Linked DNA regions of Notamacropus eugenii. The protein of the gene in region 2 purifies or fractionates together with the protein of the main gene of each other region. This does not show direct contact. Links are inferred from orthologs where the notes say so. Each region holds a gene or a part of one and is shown on either strand. Other genes may lie near its edges.

Region 1 (10,588 bases), on a different chromosome or scaffold from region 2:
TATCTTTTAAGATATATTTGGTGGGACACTTTCTACTCTACAAAATTCAGAGACACTTGTAACACTCTCATTGAAATAAATCAATTAAGTAATGGATAAGTAAAAAAAAGATCCAATTTTGAGTTTAAAAAAATTGGTTTGCTTTTTGTTCAACTCTGAGAATACTTATGGCAAACAGTTCAAAGAAAAGTGCCACATGGGTCCTTCTACAGGGCTGAAGAAAACATATTACCTTCATTTAAGTCCCAAGATTTGCTATCACCTATTTATAAGTGTATAGGACAAAAGTCACTCATTCTTCACAAATGAGTGAATAAAGACAACAGTCCATTTTTCTATAACATGTAATCATATCTTTTGTAATTTGACAAATCCACTTTGATTTAGTTTGGTAGATAGGCATTTTTACCCTGAAATGGTGACTTACAAATTTTTAAAAACCCCACTAAAATGTCACTAGAATGTGATACTGACAAACTCAAGTGAATGAAAATGTGATCAAATCATTCAAGATCATTGCTTTCCTGCCAATCCTTCAAAAGGGAACTGCATTACCCTATCCTCCTCTCCCCATTCATTTTTGTGATCCATTTTATGATATAAGGCACTTTGTAGGTCATGTAGTCCAAACCCCTCATTTTCCAGTTGAGGAAACTGAGACAGAAGGCGCTTAAGTCATTTGCTCTAGAGCATACAAGCAGGAAACTACAGAGGCAAGATTTGAATCTGAGTCTTCTAATTTCACATCGTTCACTCTTCTCTCTTCTCTACACTTCACAGTTTATCCTGGTATAAGTATATATTTGTATGTTTGTACACATGTATGTATATATCTTGGATCTAAATATCCTAACACTTCCATCCAGGAGAGACTAGAAAAAATCTTAATCTAATAATGAGCTTAAAGTATGCTCTCAAAAGTGCATATATTTACTCAAAGTTTAAACAAGGTAACCATTCTATACTTCATTTTCCTTTTTTTTTCTGAAGCAATGGGGTTAAATGACTTGCCCAAGGTCACACAACTAATAAATGTGAGGCTGAATTGGAACTCAGGTCGTCCTGACTCCAGGGCTGGTTCTCTAAGCACTGTTGCCACCTAGCTGCCCCTTCATTTTCCATTCTCTTCATACAGCCTCAGATTTCTCAAAGTTCTGGAGCATAACATATCTGTTTTGAAAATGCCACTCGAAACCCAAGTTTAGCTTTCTACTCTGTTACCCCTCACCCATGAGAACACCTTTTTAAAGAAAAACTTTTCTGGAAAAGGAAATTACAAACAAAAAGATAGAAGAGGGGTCCTATCAGGACCAACTCTGACTAAAGTCCTTTGAAAAGTTCTAATGTCATATCTAATGTGCTGCTCAGGTTTAAGTATAACTTTCTCTTATAAAATACTCGTCTCCAATTAAAAGTGATTACATATTCTGTAAGAATGCAGCCTGTTGCAAGCTTTCCTGTGAACACAAAGACTCCTATTCTTTCTCTCTAGGCGACCCCACTTCCCAGAAAGTCTCTATCTACATTCCATAGTGAATCCCATAGAAACCACTAATACTCTATAGCCAGCTGGACAGATGGCTCCTTTTCACCCTTATTAAGATAAAAAAATAGTTGTGTGTGGGAGCCCTTTTGTTTTATGCCCCATCTAGTTTGCTCTACAATAGGACTCCCCCTTTTCTCTACCTCCCCTCCCCCATCTAGTTTCTGTCTTGATTCTATTTATTCACAGCAAGTCCTTCCTAAAATAACATTTATTTTACTTTTTGAACCACTGTGTGTTGCACTTCTTTTGGCTTGGAAACAATACAAAAATGTCAAACTTCTTTGACTGCAGCAAATAGCAATCCCACTCAAATTGAGGTTGCTCAAATCTGCGTCTCAGAACGCAAGGGAAAAATGAAGACTGTCCCGTTCTTTGAAAACTTGAAACAAAGTTAAAAGCTAAGGAGGATTATATTACCGGCCTTTGTATTCTCTGGTGACACCCAGGCCAATCCCCCAGTTCCTGGGGAGCTTGGATCTGGCACCTGGCCGCCGCTAGAGGGCTGCGCCAACAGACTGGAAGCTGTTCGAAGCCCAGTTGGGGTTAAGGACCAACTTTTAGAACTGCGTGTCCGATGGACAAAGGTGGCGGGGAAGGAAAGCTACAAACCTGTCTGAAAGACTGCAAGGTGCTCTCGGCTTCCTCTCTCTGCATCATCTCCTCTTGCAACCTGAAAGAGTGACACATCAACCAAGGAGGAAGCGGGAAACCGCCAACTGGGCTGGACAGGCCACACCCAACCACCCCACCCCACCCCATCCCCGGGGGAAAGAAGCAATTCTTCAAGGGTAGACCGCTAACTTGGGCTCTTTCTCCTGGGCTCCTTTGAGGGAGTGGGGGCTGCAGCACCTTGGGGACCCTCTGAAGTGAGACTCGGAGAAGTGAGCAGCTCAGTGAGGGTGACCAAGGCCGTGGCGTCATTGCCCTTTGTCTCGCCTCCCTCCCTCTGGCCATAATTTTCTTTTTTTTTTCCCGAGGCTCTTCGGAAAAGAGGCAAGGAAACTTGGGGAAAAGTTAGTGAAACTCTTTCCCGCCTCCAACAAGGGGAGAGTTAAGAGATAGGAGACATTCGAGCAACTTTTTAAGGCCAGTGCATGGTTAGAATAGAGAGGGAGCCGTGGAGAGCTGCAGGAGATGAAGGGCGGGGCGACCTCCACACAGATGCCAGACCACAGTCCCCTACTTCTCTTCCTTCCCCAGCCCGGGCTCCCTCTCCTCCCCACCCCCCACCCCCACCCCAGGGCCCAAGGGCGTGGCAGCCCCAGAACAGACCGGGGATGGAGCCGCCAGTCTGCATCCCTCCTCCTCCCCACCTAGGTGAAAGGGACAATGGACCCCGGCCAGCTAGCACGCTCTTACTTCTCGCGGAGCCGCATGATGTCCTCGGCCAGGTTGTCCCTCTCCACCTCCACCCGGGCTTTGTCGTTGGTAAGCTGGTCCACCTGCCGGCGCAGCTCCCGCATCTCCTCCTCGTACAGGTCCCCCAGGCGCGACTTGCCCTGCCCTTTGAGCTGCTCGAGCTCGGCCAGCAAGATCTTGTTCTGCTGCTCCAGAAATCGCACCTTGTCGATGTAGTTGGCGAAGCGGTCGTTGAGCTCCTGCAGCTCCACCTTCTCGTTGGTGCGGGTGTTCCTGAACTCGGTGTTGATGGCATCGGCCAGAGAGAAGTCCACCGAGTCCTGCAGCAGCCTCACTCCCGGGATCGGGGCGCTGCTCCTCAGGCGCACGGCCGACGAGCGTGTAGCGTACACGCCACCTGGGGAGGACGAGTACACGCTGCGGGTGCTGCTCGGCCGGATGGCGCTGCCCAGGCTGTAGCGGGTGGTCGAGGTCACGTAGCTGCGGCTGGAGCTGGGCCGGCCGCCGGCGCTGCTGCCGCCGAACATCCTGCGGTATGAGGAGGAGGATACGGACCGGGTGGACATGGCTGGAGGGCTGCTGCGTGGAGCGCGACCCGCGAAGAGAGAGGGGCGGTGGCGGTGGCGGCGGCGCTGGCTGCAGCTAAGGCGACAAGAGCCGAGAGACTGGAGAGGCAGAGAGCGGGACCCCGCTTCGTGGGCGACTCTTATATCGGCGGAGGGGGCCCCCGCCGTTGGCCAATCCCCGGCTACTCGCCAGCCAATGGGGACCCAGGGAGAAAGGACAGAGTAGGGAGGGTACGGGGAGAGGGTGTTCAGGGGTGGGGTCAGGGTGGGCGGAGGTGCCGCCCTTAGCCCTCCCCCGTCTCCCCCAAACTGGGCGGAAAGCCCCATCCCGTTACTTTTGGGGCTGGGCTCGGAATCCTGCTGATTATCCCCCGCAGGAGGGGGGTGATTCTCACCTTTGGGCACATTGACAAAGTAGGAGAAAGCTTAGAGGAAGTTGGGGGACCCACTCAGAACGCGACATTGGAAAAGGAGGAGAGAGGTCTAGGAGACTCTTCCAAAGAGGCGTAGTAGGAGGGGGTGGGAGGGGCACCTTGGTTTCCAGCCAAAAGGGCGAAAGGGAGGCCCGAGGAGCCAGAGGGACTCTGCCAGGAAGGACCAGAGTGGCGAGACCCTGGCCAAGGGGGAGGAAAGGCGGGGGGAGAGTGATTTCTCGGCCATAAGGGAAGGAGGCAGCGAGAAAGAAAGAGCCTGAGATTTGGGAGGAGGGAGAAGGGGGCGTGCACTCGAGAAAATGAAGTTGTTCAGGCATTGTTACTTCCCCTTTGTGCCAAGCGGAAGAAGAGGGATGGGCCCATTTCTGCGAATTCATTTATCCTGCTGGGCCGTCCTCGGTGTCTAGGGACCCTGCGGGTTTTGTCCGGAATCGGACGGTCTGGAGTCCGAGGGAGGGGAGGCGGTAGAGCAGGATGGAAGGAATGCGGAGGGGGAGGAGGGGGGAAGGGACCGTGAATCACTGGAGATGAATCACTGGGCCGTGGTTGCTTGGAGAGGCTCGTCTCCAACGCTCAGCTTCAGAAACCGTTAGATAAACTCTCTCCTCCGGTCTGGATGCGCTCATTTTCTACCCAACTTAGAGACAAGCAACTACTCTGAGCTGTAGCAGACGATGTCTATGTGCCCCCCCTTAAAAGGGCCCCCTCCTGCCTGGGTACTGCTTCTCACTCTTCTATCCTGAAGAGGGCTTCGCTCCAGGATGAAGGGGTGTGGCTCCATTCTTACTAGGAGGACATTTCTGTCGATTTGTGCGTCTGAAGAGCCTGAGTTAGGGGGTATCCACCCATCCCCTCTAGGTATACGGAAGGGGAGAATCTTCAAAGTGTCCACGTTTCAAGCCTGTGTTTGGGCCGTTCTCCTTCCATGAAGTAAATCTTTTAAATGATCAGAAAGTTTTATGTAAGAAGGAAACCATATAAAGTTAACCTTCCCTTCCAAAAAAGCCATGTTTTGAAACAAGCCTTTCAAAAGCAAATTGAATTGACTGATTTTCTCATTTTGTAGTAATATCCAGAAACTATTTCGGAGGTATAAATATAGCTCCATTAAAAGATTAATGAAGTGCTAACCCTTAAGACCAGATTTAACTAATGAATTATTTTAAATGGGAAGCAATTATACCACAAATGATGAAATAGGGATGTTTGCAAGAACGTAAAGTTTGTATTGCGAGTAGTACAAAACATTACAGCTTCTCATTTTAAAAGTGCCACCGATATGGAGAAATGATACCGGCTTATGAGCAATCGTAGAATATTGCAGGTTCTTCTGCTCCTTGGCTGTGAGATGGGTTGGGGGGTGAGAGGGAGTCATGGAATTAACATAGGAGCCAAGGACCCTGATCCAGGAAACCAGAGGTCCTGTCATGTACCAGTACTAGGTAAATGATAAGAAGCTCAATGTGATGTTAGAGATTAATAAGACAGAACTCAAACATTTTGCCATTAACTATCTAGTGAGGTTAGAACAGTGTTGAACAGTGGGGACGATAGGCATGAAGTAACAGCTTAGAAGCTACAATTATCCTAGTTTTAGAATGATTTTAATCCCTTGAATTTTAAATCGTAAAACTTTAAACCCTTGAAAGCATTAACTAAAGGACTACTACAAAAATAAATGCATCTTGACGCTCCTAGGGATACAGAGAGGAAAAAAAGTAGGATCCTGTTTTCTTTTTCCCTTTGGATGCTGAAAGTTACCTGTATTTAAGGAATGTAGTTCAGAGTTAAATAAAGAAGTTTATTATGGGTCTCTTTCTACAAGCCTCTTTCAGTCAAGACTGTAGTTTGTTTTCCTCATTTCAGTTAAATTGGGCAAATGGAGCTGACAAGGTTGAGCTGTGAGAGCATTTGAAGCACAAATCTTGCACTGTGGCTTTCTTTATTCATGCTTTCCCTGGGAGGCGAGGGTCACACGAAAAGAACATTCCTGGGGCTCACTGTACTGGCAGAGCAGCCTGTGTTCCATGTTACCATCCTGTTTTCTGAGAGGTCTTTATTTTAACTGCTGCTTAGGAAATGTAAGTCCATTGTGAGGTTGCCTGGAACCCTTAGAATAAGAAAGCCTATCTATCACCCCATAAGGGAAGAAAAGGGGGTAAAGGCTCTGTCCACCGTATAGAAGAAACTAACATTCTATATTTAAAAAACTGTTCAGCCAAGTTTAGTGTTCTGTACCTCCTGGGAACTCTGTGAATGCTTATTGACTGACTCATTGGCAGAAGATAAACCTCTGAATAAACCGAAAAGAGATTTTGGTGAGGTTTGACAGTATTATTTTTAAAAAGGTCGAGAAAGTCCAGCTTGCATTCTTTATGTTACCAGTATCCTTCTTTTCACCACTTCTCTTCAATTAGCTGTGATTTTTTTCAACATTTGTTTTGACAACATGTTTGGCATGTCCTAGTACCGCTCTTATTCTGTGGACTTTCTGGCAAATTACAGAACCACAATTACAAAGGACCCCAGAAACTACCATCCAGTCCATATCTGGACAAGATCGCTGTCTACAGGATCTAACAAGTGCTGATTCCCCCATCCATTTTAAACCCTCTGGAACTGGAGAAGCCAATACCTGTTGCTTACTATCTATGTGTCCTTGGGCAGTCATGTCTCCCTGAACCTCAGTTTCCTCAGCTGTAAAGTGAGAAAGTTGGACTAGATGACTTTGAAAGACCATCTCTAAACCTATTATTCTATGACCTCTGCAAGCAGCACATTTCACTTTAGCATTGCTCTAATTTTGGGAAAGCTTTTCTTACATCAAGGACATCTTTGCCTCTTTATACCTTCCACTCATTTTTCCTACCTCTGCTCCCAGGGTACAAAGAGAACAAATCTAAGCATTCCACCATGTGGCAACCCTTCAAATATTAGAAATTGGTTATCATGTCTTCAATAAGCTTTCCCCCCCTCCATACCAAATATTCCCAGTCCACTAGGCACACTTTCCTTTATTCCATCAGAAATCACCTTAAAGTTTGACGCGATTACTGTGAGAAACACTTTTATGCATTTATTTCAAGAGCCTGGCAGGCTTTAGCAAGTGTTGAATTAATTCTGAAGCAATAAATACAGTGTCCAGTAGAATGTTTAGCACACAGTGGGCACCTAACAAATATTGCTGATTTATTAAATATAGTAAAAATGGATGTATCTAAGATGGATGTATGTAATGGATGTATCTTGCCTTAAATGCAAGAACTAATCCTATGTTCTATCTAATTTTCTTGATGACAAGGAAACTACTGACTTCATTCTTACATTTTTGGGGGAGATTACTGTGTAAGCCTCTTCAGAAAGCATTCAAATGTTATTTCATGTACTAATGAAGAGAAAGAAACAAGCTTTGAAATGATAGAAAGCAAAGCAATTTATAAGACTGAGAGATGTAGGGTTGGTACTACTCTTATCTAAACTGTGTACTTCTGGTGCCTAGCATGGTGTTCTACTCACTGAAGACAGCTAATAAGTGTTTGGTATTCCTTTTGCTTTGAATTTGATTGGATCATAATTAATCAAAATAATTGAAGACAGAAAATAGTATATTAAATGTTCAATCAGTTCTTAGAATTTGAACGGGTTGCCTTGTGCTCCATAGGAGAATGCCCATATTAGTGAAATCACAAAAGTCATCGAAATATTCAAATTTCAGACTGTTGACTCATTTGTAGCTTGTGGTCCACTAAATCCCCCAGATTTTTTTTCCTACAAATCATTGACTAGCCACATGTTCATTGTCTTGAATTCATGAAGCTAACATTTTCAAGAGAAGTGTAAGCCTATCTACTTAGGGCTTTTAAATCCCATCTTATTAGACTCAGCCTAATATTCTGGTCAGTCCAGATCTTTTGGATCCTGACTTAGTCATTCAACTTGTTAGCTTTTTCTCCAAGCTTTTTGTCATCTGGAATTTTGGTATGCCTGCCATCTGTGTATTTGTCCAAATCATTGACAAAAAATGTCAAACAATCTCTGGGTCCAAGTACAGATTCCTTAGGCCCTCCATTAGTTTTGATATAAAATCTTTAACTCATTTAAGCTTGGCCATTCAACCAGTTTTTAATCCATCTGACTGTAACACCAGTCAACTAGCATTTATTCCAGGGACAACTCCAAGTACTAGGAATACAAAGAAAGACCAAAAAGAAAATAGTACCTACCCTTAAGCAACTCAGAGTCTAATGGGGAAGAAACATATAAATCAAACAAGATAGATATAGGATAAATTTGGAGGTAACATCTATTCCTCAGCTGAAGAACATAAAACTTCATCTACAGCTGATCTACTCATCAAGTAACGCTGTCACAAAAAGAAGGAAAATAGAAGTAGTCTGGTATGACCCATTCTTGATGAAACCATGCTGATTCTTTGTGATAACTTCTCCCTTTTCTAGATGTGCATTAACTCACCCTTTGAGAACACATTAGTTCCATATATACAAAAATATTTATAGCAGTGTTTGTCACAGAATCACAGAATTTTAAAGTTTTATAGAAGCAAATAACTAGAAATACTTTGGGATCTCATCATTCATTTGACTAGTGACTAAGAAAGTGGTGACAAATGATATAATGGAATATCATTGTGCCATTAGAAATTAAAAATATGAGGAATTCATAGAAACATGGCAAGGCATATGACCTGACAGATCGATATAAGTAGAACCAGAAAACCATGTGTCAATCATTCAGCAAGCATTTATTAAGTGCCTAGTATGTGCTAGGAGATGTGATAACAGTAGGGATAAAAAAGCCAAAACAACATATTTTCTGACTTCAAGAAGCTCAAGTCCTGAGCTTCAAGCCTTCAGGGTGGATTGAAAGAACAGTAAAATGAACATGAGCAGTGTGAAATTGTAATAAGTTTTGCTCCAGTGAAGAGATGAGAATGTATCTTCTCCTTTAGAAGAAGTGAAGGACAGTGGATGTGAGATGTTGTATAAACTTTCAGGTATGATCAATGTGTTGTTTGATTTCACTGAACTGTTTTTAGTCATAGGAAGGCTCATGTGGTAATAGATACAGCAGTGGCAGAGAGATATTTTCAGAAATAAATGTACTATTAAAACCAAAAGTCACAAATATAACTTTTTTTTTAATTTTAGAATTTTGTTAGGAATCTATTCAAGCTCCCTGGTCCATAGTTTGCAGAGTTGATTCTGTTCTCTTTTTTTGAAAATTGGGACATTTAATCATTTCCAATTCTTTAATATCTCTCCATGATGTTTTAAAGACTACTTATATTGGCAATGTTACCAGTTCTTTCAGTACTCAACGATAAGTTTTTTGTGGTTGTTTTTGCTCCATCCTTTCCAACTCAAAGTTCATTTTCCTTGACAGGGAAAGTAGAAGTTGAACATATAAGATGAACAGCTCAGACCCTTCTCTGTCATCAGTTATTATTCAGTCCCCCAAGAACAACAGTCATATCCCTTTTTTGGTTTCCTTCTTTTGCCTCACATACTTAAAAGAACAAATCCTCTGATTGTTTTTTTCGTTTGCAAGCTTTCCCTTATTCTGAGCTTTAACATTCCTAATGAATACACTTCTTCCAGGTTATACCATTCTTTTGCACTCGTCCTTCACTACATACTCTTGCTTCTATTGGCTCTATATCTCTTTTTAAAATCTAAGTTAATGAGTTCCCTGTGCATCCACATTGATCTCTTTAAACAGCCACCCCCTTTCCTCCTCAACAGAATTATATCCATTTCAGAATTTCAATCTTGATAACTTCTCATTCCTCCAGGGTTGACTTCTCCAGACTAACATAAGGTCATGGAGTACAATCTATCCTTTCTCTGAACCTTTTGAAGCATGTATGTTCTTCACAAATTTAGGAATTCTGTCAGAGAATACCTAGCATGCTTTTCTCCTTCCTTATCACAAATTTCTAGATGGAATGGTCATTTTCCCCTTATATTTCCATCATTTCCAACCCAGAAATCGGTTCTTGATGATGTTTTTTTTTTTAAAAAGGATTTTCCATCCTTGATTCTTCTGCTTTTTGCAGAAGAGAAATTATAATCAAGTCATTTTGCAAAATAGAAATTATAATGAAGTCAATAAAGAAATTATTAGCTGCCCTGCTTGGGCCAGAGAAATAGAACTCTTGTAGATGTACAGAGAAGTTTCTTATCACTTATGAGTTTGTGCCAAACTTGTCATCTGTCCCCCAATTTAATCTCTTTATTCTATGTGTCCAAATAATCTGCATAATAAGCCTCAATGATGATACCACTTCAGTTTTGTCTCTATTGCTCTTCACACAAAATACTTTCTACCATTGTTCTCCCCGTTTTGGTTGCTGGATTTCCTTGAAGGAAGTATATCTATTTAACACAAATTGCTACATGCCCAGCTCTGCTTTTACTGCTTTCCCCCCAAATATTCCAGAAGCATATACCAGTGGACATATGCCATATAGGCTCCATCTACCAAATCTTAGTGATGCCCTATGAACTCTAATTTTCCTCTATACATTAGGATCTTTAGAGGCAAGTGGAGCAGGGGATGTCATGGTGGGAATAGAATCAAGATGACATAAATTCAAATTTGCCCTCAGACCTTGGACAAGTCCCTTAAGCCTCTGTTTGCTTCTGTTCACTGACCTGTGGAAA
Region 2 (10,550 bases):
AGCTCATCTGGACAGGGAAAGCTGGGGACCTGTTGTTTCTCAATCCCTGGTTCTTCAGACCCCAGGCTACTGCCCATTCCAATGCCTACCTTCGCTTTGGCCCATGGGAGCTTTGGAGCAGTCAGGTGCTCACTATCCTTTGGCTTGGGTCCATCAAAAGATGGCCCCTGGAGAAGGTAGGCAGGTACCACCTGGGCTTGGAGTTCCCTCCTAGTGCCTGAGTGGTGAGCTTGGGAAATGTGTGGGATGGGAGTGCTGGCCAAGGTGGGTGTCTGGGTGGGGACGAATCCTTGACTCTTCAGAAACGTAGGCATTGGGGTCCTAGGTGTATCCACCATGGGAAGGGGTGTGGGGCTCAGGACAGGAGGCCGGGGTCCTGGACGTCGGATCTCAGGTGTCACAGGGGTACACAACTCCACCTTGGGGTCTAAAAGGATAGAGGGGATAGGGGAAGAGTCAGTATGTGAACTTGGGGGAACACCCCCCTTATTTACAACATTCCTACTGAACTTCTCCTCCTACATTCCCCACCACCACATTCCTGAATCCCTTTCCATCATCAAGATCTGGCCTCAAATATCTTCCCTTGATTGAAGGGGATTCCTTTGGAGTGGAATTTATTCTCAAATTTGGGTTTCAATTGGGGCAAGAAGTCTAAGCTGGGCAAAACAAGGCTCACCATGTACCAGCAAGAGGAATAAGAGTTGGGGAATGGTGTCAGGGTAGTGAAGGAGCCTTCCCCTTGATGGGTGGAGGTCAAGGCAAGGGGGTAAATTGAGTAAGAGCCAGAGGCACTATCTCCTTACCAGGGAAGATGACAGTGACCTTTGAGTCTATATTGGATGTATGCAGCCGGGAACTCTCAGCCTCCAGGAGGGTCCTAGAAACAAAAGAAAATGTCCTGGGTCACTCCGATTGTCTGATAAATTAAACCAATCCAGTATGGTAAAATGACTTCCCTCTGCCCCAACATGACAGGTTCATTCACCAAATGAGAGATCCAAACACAAACACATATCCACAGACAAAGATTACAGCACTACAGACACGCAAATGTGGCAGTCACTCACTAAAATACTTCCACACATTTATGCCATCATGCAAAGTCACACAGCCACATAGAGACAAACTCACACATCACAATCACACATGCATACACACGTTGCTTTGGAGACTGTGTGTCTCTCCCACTCTGGAATCTATTCCCTCATGCCCATGACCTCATCCTCTCCCTGTGGAGGCTGGGGGGCACTATTCTCATGCTAATCAGCTGCCATTGTCCAGGCAGCCATCTGGAGGGTCTGGGAAGGGGGGCTTCCTTGGGGAAGCAGGAATTCTCAAGCCGTTCCCATGGGATGAGCTCCCCCATCTTGCCATGTAGAATGAAGGGGAGCTGTGCTCAGACAATAGTAAATGAATTCAGAATTCTAAACCTTTCTGCACCACACCCCTACAAAGAACCCAAGTTATAATTCCTCAGGGCCTCCTCTCCTCTTTCCTCTCAGTAGTTGGACTGGGGGTCAAGGTTCTTGTGTTGGGATCTCCAAGCGCTCTGAAACTCAGGTCACTTTAAAGATAGGAATCATGTCCATCCCCCCATCTCTGAGTAGGACATGCTTCCTACCTACCTCCCCCCATCACCAATGGAAAATGGGAAGATAATGTCTTACAAGTCAATTAAATAAGCATTCTTATATGCCTTTTCTCCCTGTCTCCAAGGAAGCAAAAACCATTGATATTTCTCTGACCATGAAGTCCTTCCTTTTGTCTAACCTCCTCTTTCTGACAATGTTCATTCCTCCCCAACCTTCTTTCCTCCGGGTCCTGATCAACGCCCCCATCCTTGTGATCCTTCTCATGTGCACACTCTTGCTGTCCCTCTCCCATCTCACCCCATCTAACATTGTATCCTTGTGCCTTTCCGACCTAGCCCAGGATTCAGGACTTTCCTGGGGGCTTAGGACAAAGATCAGAAGGGAGATGAGCTTGTTAAGCCAACAGCATAAGCCCTCTCCCATCTTCCTGCATAAAACTAAGGAGGCAGGTTTAATGAAAACTAGGCAATGGCACCAGAAGACAAAAACATCCTAGACCTCAGCTCTTTGCCTCTATGTATCGAACTCATCTGGAACCCAGGTCTGATGCAATAAGGATGTGAAGGGATGTGTGGGAAGAGAGATGTAGAACTTATGGGGAAAGCTGATGTAGTAGTTCTCTCTCTGGAGCTGAAAAGGGGCTGTAAAAGAAAGAAGGGACCTTAGAGATATAGTTCAAAACCTTTGTCCTGCATATGACCATACTGAGACTCAGAGGAAGGGAAGAGACTTAAAGTTTAAGATCACATGGTAAGTTAATGGCAGGTCTGGGATTTGAACCCAGCTGTTTTGACTCCTAGTTCAAGGATTCTTGTTTTCTGAACCATGATGTTCTAGGGAAGAAGGGTTCTGGGAAAGGGACCTCACCTATACGTGGCCACTTCTAGGCTAAGGGACATTTTCAGGTGCATCAGCTGTTGTCGATCTTCCAGGACCTGAGCAATTTGGTTGTGGAGATCCTGTTTCTCCTGCTCCAGGGCCTCCACAGCCAGCTGCAAAATAAGGAACAGAAAAATCAGCATCTCCCTTCCATTCTTCTTAAAGGATAGGAAGGTCTTCCCATCCCTCCTGTTCCAATAACAGCTTATTCCTTCTTGTTCAGTTCTCTGGGGAGATGACCCTTACATATGCCTTTCCTGAGGAAAATTTCCCTTTGGAGTCCCAGAGGCAAGAACTGCATCCTCTCTTTTTTGGGGGGAGGGAGAAGGATTATTCAACAATGTTCTCAAAGGGTATGTATCGCATGGCTCAGCCCTGTGAGGATGCTCAGCCCTCCAACATTGAACACCAAAGCAAATAGATAAAGGAGAAGAGAGGAGAAAGTTAAAACAGAAATAGAAGAGGAAAAAAGGAAAATCAAAAGAGGGAAACTACTACCTGAGAACTTGAACAATTTCCTACCCTCTATTTTTCACCCTCCCCACACCCAATTTTGGGTCCTTTTCTTTCATTCCAAGCTTTAGTTCTCTCTCCCCTCCCCGCCTCCACATTTCCTGAAATCCTCCTTCCTCAAATGAGAAGGGAAGAGGAGAGGGGGCAGCCAGTCCTTCTCTAAAACCCTGGCCCCCCACTCCCTATTCAGGTCCAAACTGGGAGGTTGTTTTCACAGCTGTCAGTCACAGCTGTGTGTGAGACCAGGGACAGCTGTCTCTGCTCTTCTGGAATGTGGAGCTCCCTCCTGGGAGCAGTGAAATGAGACAGAAAGGGGCTGGAAATCTGGATGCCTGGGTCCCCTGACCCCTTCCCTGAGCTCTGTTAAACCCATTGGGAATCTTTTGTTGGCTCCATAAAAGCTGCCCAAGTAGGGAAGAATTCAAAATTGCTGTGGACCAAGGAGAGAAGGGTGCCGGAGGTATAGGTGTGTGGTGGAGGTTGGGGAATAAAGTGTTGATGATGCTTCTGCAAAACTGTTTGGAAATATAAGGGTTAGCATTCTCTGTCTCTCTGTCGCTCTGTTGCTGTCTCTCTTTGTCTCTGTCTCTCTGTCTCTCTCTTTCTCTGTGTGTGTGTGTGCGCGGGTGTGTGTGCGCGTATGAAAATTATCAGCCCATTCTCTTCATCCTACCAGGGAATTCTTGAGGAAAACTTGGGGATACCCCAAAGAACATCTTTGGGTGTTGGAGTTGGGGATTCTAGGTGCCCTATATTTAGAATGTGATCCTTTTCTGGCATTGGGAATGTCTCCAATGACAGAGGGAACGTGGACTTTGCTCCTCTGGCCAGGTCCCTATAGACAGGATAATTCCGCTTTCCTTTCGAACTCTCCACACTTTGGAGAGACTAGGGAGCTTGATCTCTTCAATCCAAAGCAGATTCCACCAGAACTTGGTCAGTAACAGTAGGAAGACATGTCAGGGCTGGAAGACACTGAGTAAGAGAGGCTGGGACAAGGGGAGACGGAGCAATCAATGGGCAGGAGCTGGGAAAGAGGAAGAGGGGTTCGGAGACAGGAGCAGAGGGGCAGGGGAATGGCGCTCACCTGGAACTTCTCCCCTGACTCCTGTTGCTGCTGCCATTGTCCTTCCAGCCTCTGCTCCAGCATCTCTCGACGGCCCTGGAGGGCTGCCCTCTCTACGTCCAGCCGCTGCACTTCTCGTTGTCCCTCTCGGGTCCCTTGCATTGCCTGGCCCAGCCTCTCCCGGGCCTGTCCCAGGGAGGCTTCCATGCAGGCAACGCGGGCCTGGTAACCTTCCACTGCGCCCCTCCACGCCTCCCCGAAAGTGCGGGCTAAGTCCTGCACGTCGGGGGCAGGGGCATTATCTGGAGCCCTGCGAAAGGTCTCCAGGGCAGAGGCGGAGCGTGCCACCTGGGCGCTTATTCCCGCCCGCTCCTGCTCATGGGCAGCCACCAAGGCCTCGAGCTCCTTCTCCAGCTCGGCTGCCTGGTTCCCCAGACACACCCCCGCCCACTTCTCGGCCTCCAGCACCCGGCGGCTCTCAGCCATCTGCTCCTTAGCCCGCTCCCGGGCTAATCGCTGCTGCTGGCATCGGCTTGCCACCCCCTCTACCTCCTCCAGAAGATTGTCCCTGGCCACTTCAGCAGCATGCTTCTCGCTCCAGCGCTGGTCCAGCAGGGCCCGCAGAGAGTTCAGTTCCTCCTCAGCTTGGCTTCTCCAGGATGGCTCCCCAGGTAGCTCCCGGAGACTCCCTATCTCCAGCCGAAGCCTCTCGTTTTGCTCCTCCAGGGACTTCACCCGGGACAAATAGGCTTCCAGCCTCCGATTGAGCTCCCACATCTGAACAGACTCCTCTCTCATGCAGCCCTCCATCATCCTAAATGCCACCCCGGAGGGAGAAGGGCACCGAGTGAGAGGAGAAAGGGGCGGGTCTCCGAGCACCTCGGAGAGCCGGGAGGAGAAGCAGGGTGAGAGGGCTAGGAAGAGAGCGGGGGAGCTTCCGGAGAGACTTGGAGAGGAGAGAAGAGCGAGTCCCGCTATTCATACTCCCGCCGGCTGGGAAAAGGGGGCGGAGACAGGGAAGACTTAACCCCTTGACAACCAAAAGCTGTGCCCAACGTTTGCATTGGGCATCTCTTTTAGGCAGTTCTGTACAGGGTGGGGATATTCCGAGAAGGTACAGTCCCTGTCCTGGGGAGCCACCAGCCTGATTGGAGAAAGGATTTAAAAAGGACTTGATAGTTGGTGTCTTCAAGCAGTGGGAGTTCTGTCATGTGGAAGAGGGCATACATATTCTGCTTGGTTCCAGAAGGCAGAAGCAAGATTTCCATGAGTGGAAATCCGCAAACAGGAAAGTTTATTCTCGATGTCAGAAAATACTTCCTGTCCAAAAGTGGATCTAGTTTCCACTTAAGGTAGTGAGTTCTCCATCTTCATAGGTCTCCTAGCAGAGGCTAGATGACAAGCATTCACAGTTAGAAATGTTTTTCTAAGGGATTCCTGTCCAGGAATGAACTGAATGAACAAAAATGAACTCTTTGCCCCCTTCCAGCTTCAATGTTCCGTAATTCTATGCTTAAGGGACAAAGATACAGACACAGAGAAAGAGACAAGGAGAGAAAATCCAGCTCCACAGAGTTCTAGGTAGCTAGGTAGGGAGAATGAGAAAGCAGAACAGAAAGTGATAATTTAGGGAGGCTTCTTGGAATAGAAAAATATGAAAAAGGGTTGAGAAAGAGTAAGGAATGGACACAGCAGAAAGTTGTCATCCAGCATTTACTAAGTGTTTACTGTGTTCCAGACACTGTGCTAAATTCTGGGAGTTTAAAGAAAGAATATATGGAAAATAATTTATGAAAAGACTCCGAGAAGACAGGAGAAGATGAGATATAAGGGCCGGGTCAGGGTAAGGACCAGCAGCTATAACTAGAGTCTAGGAAACAGGGCCAGAGACATTGTGGGAGACTCTCTTTCACACAGTCAACCTGTCTCATCTTCCCCATCAACTTGGAGTCCTGCATCAGGGACTGGTGGAGGGTTAGGACTTGGGGTGCCAAGGGCCTGCAGAACTTCTTGGTGCTACTTGACTCTCATTCCTCCTGTCATTTTCTCTAACCTGTGGAGGACAAAGTCCTTTTAAGTATCTGGTTTTTTCTTCTAGAAAACATTCTAGTCTTCAGTCTACCTGGAAGGGAGACTAAAATTCTCGAGAAGAGAGCGCCCTCTGGTGGCTAAATAGGCTAGTTAAGAAAACAATAGATAAGTTTGTGATGCAGATGAAGAAGTCTAACCACCTCTCTGGGTTTGGAGAGGGCAGGTTTCAAAGGAATAACAGGTGCAAAGTACAGACTAAGATACATTTTGTCATAACAAATGTGGCAATTTGTTTTGCTTGACTATACATGTTTGTATGGGGGGGAAAGTGACCATTCCACCTTTGCATTTAGGAGGCCTGAGCTGACAAGCTCAGCATAGCCAGTTTTGTTTGTAAGACCTTAGAAAAGATGGTTTCAGAAATCTCAGAGATAGGATAGGTAGGATCCCATCGCCTGAGAATTTAAAAGGGAAGATGACTGAAAAGTGGGAAATTGGAGGAGGAGGAGAAAGGAAGAAAAAAGAAAAGAAAAAGGAAAGCTATTCTGATCATAAAAATACAAATGATCTTTTGGAAGAAAAATATGTAAATAGGTAAAAATAAAGGCTGATTTTTGTTGTTATTTTTGTTAAGTTGCTGAAAGAGTTCTCCAAAAGTTTTAGACTTCAAAAAATATAGAGAAAAGAAGGGAGGAAGAGGTCATGGAAAGATCCTGAAGGGACTTTAAAGACTATCTCATCCCACATCCAGTTTTAAGAAGAAACTGAGGCCAAGAGAAGGCAATTGTGTGACCTTGGAGCTAGTTGCCAGTGGCATAGCTAGGCTTGAATGATTATACAGTGTAATGCTCTTTCTAGTTATTCACTGCTTGAGCAACCAAGAATGAACATAAAAACGTTGATCACTGACCTGTCAGAATTGTATCAGCAAGGCTAAAGCCCAGCTATGAGCACTGCCAAAAATTCTAGGGAAAATAAAAGGAGCTTTTGAAGATAAAGTTAAAATAAGAAGACAATCAGTCAAGGGATGGTCACAGAGCTTGATTCTCTGTAGATCTCAATACAAGTCTTTTCTGTACTCTTTCCTATCTTTCCAGTCTTCATTCCACCTTAACCAAGCCAACCACTTACTCTTCCTTCCAGTGACACTGACTTTGACATTTATTCTTCAAGCAAGGCACTCTATCTCCTGACTCTTGACTATTACCCTGGCTATTCCCTGATCATCTTGTCTTCAAGTCCCAGCTAAAAGCCCTTAGAGGAAGCTTTTCCCTGTCCTCCTTAATTCTGGTGCCTCCCCTCTGTTGATGATGTTCGATTTAACCTGTATATATTTTGCTTGTACATCATTGTTTGCATGCTGTCCCCATTCTCCACCCTGCCCCCTTAATAAGAGTAAGCTCCCTTGTGAACCTGAATGTTTGTAAGGGAAGGCTAGTGGAATCACTAAACTAAATCAACTGAAGTTATATTCTAACGTGTTATCTTTGTTAACTATGAGCTAATCTCAGTTGTTTCTATGGTGCTAAAGGACTGCAAGTGCTGTCATCCCCCTCTGAATTTCAGCTTCCTGGGTAAAACCAAGTTACCCTGTCCAGTTACAGCCCTGGCCAACATTTATACTTTAAAATTTGCAAAGCACTTTACATTTATTATATCATTTGGGCCTTACAAATAAGGGTTTCTATTTAAGTTCACAGTTTCTGATAATGATCTTAAAAGTTCTTACTATTTTTCTCCCTAAATGATTCTTAGAGATTAACTTCCCACCCCAACACTGATCCTTCTAGGGCACACAAAACTTGCTCATGGGCGAAATCCTTCTTATTATCTAATTTTGGTCTCTCCTAAGCAGCTTTCTCTCTCCCTCCCCCTCTCTCTCTCTCTCTCTCTCTCTCTCTCTCTCTCTCTCTCTCTCTCTCTCTCTCTCTTTCTCTCTCTCTCTCTCTCTCCTTTTTCTCCCTTCTCTTTCTTCCCAGGAGAGGTCAGTGCTTCTCTCCAAAGTCTGTGTTGCATTGCTTTTTCACCAGAGACCTTGTCAAGGCAACATTTCACTGCTTTCAACAGGTGGCAGGGTCCATTCCTCAATGTCATTGTCCTTTACTCCTAAAAGACTCCATGTGGAGTTTTTTTGTACTCCTCTATCTCTGTTTCCCTTCTCCCCAAAAGTCCGCTATTCTCCATTAGAAAGTGTTCATTATGTCTTTTGCCAAAAATTGCTTTCAGACAGCTGGACTATGCATTGAGAAAGGGCAGCTAGGTGGCAAAGTGCATAGAATCACCAGCCCTGGAGTCAGTGGGTCCTGGGTTCAAATTTGTCCTCATACACCTGGACAAAATCACTTAACCCTGTTTGTATCAGTTTCCTCATCTCTAAAATGAGCTGGAGAAGGACAATGGCAAATCACTCCAGTACCTTTGCCAAAAATAAAACCCAAATAGGGTCATGTATAGTTGGACACAACTGAAATGACTCAGCAACATCACACATTGAAAAAAGATCAAAGTATTCCTGCTCTCTCGTTTCTCCAAGCAAGAGTACCCTGTTAAGTTTAACCAATAAGTTTCAGATGATTTAGGGATGTAATGAATTAACCCCAACATGGCATGGATGGAAATTGGTCTGTTTCCCCCCAAAAATCTATTAAAATGAGACCTCAGACTCCCCACTCCCTCCACCCCCTGTAGTCTTCTTTTAAAAAAAGAGACCTTTTTAAACCTTCTCCTTTATCACACCAAAGCCTATGCTCTATACAATGGCTCTTTTATTCCCTTCTCCCAGCACTTGAGTAGTATGCCTCTGGCTCACATCAGTGTCCCAACTGATTATTTTAAAAATTATTTTAATTTATTTTTAATAATTTATTATCAATTATTAATTATAACAACAATTTATTAATATTATTTGTATACTATATATAATTACATGTTGTTAATATAATAATAAATTTGTATTTTATTTTAATTATTCTGAATTATTTTAATTCAGAAGAGTACTTCTGTTCTCTTATGTTTCTGGACCTGGAATAGACACTTATTAACTGTGTGACTCTGGGTAAGTCATTTAACCCCTGTAGATCTCAGTCTCCTCTTCTGTAAAGTGGGATAATAATATCACCTTCCTCCCAGGATTGTTGTAAGGATAAAATGAAGTAATATTTGCAAAGCCCTAAGGCACTATATAAATGCTAGCTACTATGTAACATCTCTCCATTCATCTTGCTGTCTTCTCTCTTCCTCCTGAACCATTGTTATCTAAATCATACCAGGTTAATTTCCGAAAGTGGGCAGCTGGGTGGCTCAGTGAATAGAGTGCCAGGCTTTGAGTCAGGAAGACCTGGGTGGGGGTAAGGTGATCAGGAAGGATATATAAGATATAGACATAGATAAATAATTTATTTATTTTTAGTTTTCAATATTCATTTCCACAAGATTTTGAGTTTTGAATTTTCTCTTTCACTGTCTCCTTCCCCCTCTCCAAGACAGCATGCAATTTGATACAGGCTCTACTTATACCTTCATAAAACACATACTTTCACATTAGTCATAATGTAAAGAAGAATTAGAACTAGTGGGAGAAATCATGAGAAACAAAACAAAAAAAGAAAAGAAAAGGAGAACGAATAGTCTGCTTTGATCTGCATTCAGATGCCAAAATTCTTTCTCTGGATGTGGACAGCATTTTCCATAATTAGTCTTTAAGAGTTGTCTTAAATCCTTGCATTGCTGAGAAGAGCTAAGTCTGTCAAGGGCAATCATCACACAATATGGCTGTTACTGTGTACAATGTTCTTCTGGTTCTGCTCATTTCACTCACCATCAGTTCATATAAGTCTTTCCAGTTTTTCTGAAATCTGCCTGTTCATCATTTCTTATAGCACAATAGTATTCCATTACCATTCATATACCACAACTTGTTCAGTCATTCCCCAATTGATGGTCATCCCCTCGATTTCCAATTCTTTGCCACCACAGAAAGAGCTACTATAAATATTTTTGTACATGTGGGTCCTTTTCCCATTTTTATAATCTCTTTAGGATACAGATGTAGAAGTGGTATTGCTGAGTCAAAGGGTATGCACAATTTTATCTATGGTACCTTTTAGTAGGATGTAGTTTCCTTCCTTATCTCGATGTATTTTTCCTTTTATTTTGTCTGAGTTCAGGATTGCTACCCCTGCTTTTTTTTTACTTCAGCTGAAGCATAATATATTCTGCTCTAGTCTTTTACCTTTACTCTGTCTGCTTCAAATATGTTTCTTGAAAACAACATATCGTAGGATTACGGTTCTTAATCCACTTTGCTATCCATTTCCATTTTATGGGATAGTTCATCCCATTCACATTCACAATTATGATTCTGTCTGTGTCTTTCTCTCTATCCTATTTCTCCCCCTCTGCCAATTATGCTTTTCTCTCTCCTTTTTCCCTTTACCTCCTCACTAAAGTTTTGCTTTCAACCACCA

Evidence for each region.
Region 1: the proteins of NES (region 2) and VIM purify together in Homo sapiens (affinity purification with mass spectrometry; 3 studies listed by BioGRID and IntAct, counting the BioPlex papers as one, with this or other methods). This does not show direct contact. The link is inferred for Notamacropus eugenii from reciprocal best matches to the Homo sapiens genes NES and VIM.

Annotation. Positions count from the first base shown.
Region 1 is NC_092874.1:57,864,101-57,874,688, reverse strand, and holds the start of VIM (vimentin), read right to left. Parts: upstream 4,159-10,588; 5' UTR 3,799-4,158; coding exon 2,906-3,798; intron 2,217-2,905; coding exon 2,156-2,216; intron 1-2,155. UniProt on the Homo sapiens protein: Vimentins are class-III intermediate filaments found in various non-epithelial cells, especially mesenchymal cells. Vimentin is attached to the nucleus, endoplasmic reticulum, and mitochondria, either laterally or terminally.
Region 2 is NC_092873.1:380,822,064-380,832,613, forward strand, and holds the start of NES (nestin), read right to left. Parts: upstream 5,014-10,550; 5' UTR 4,867-5,013; coding exon 4,075-4,866; intron 2,588-4,074; coding exon 2,463-2,587; intron 881-2,462; coding exon 807-880; intron 428-806; coding exon 1-427. UniProt on the Homo sapiens protein: Required for brain and eye development.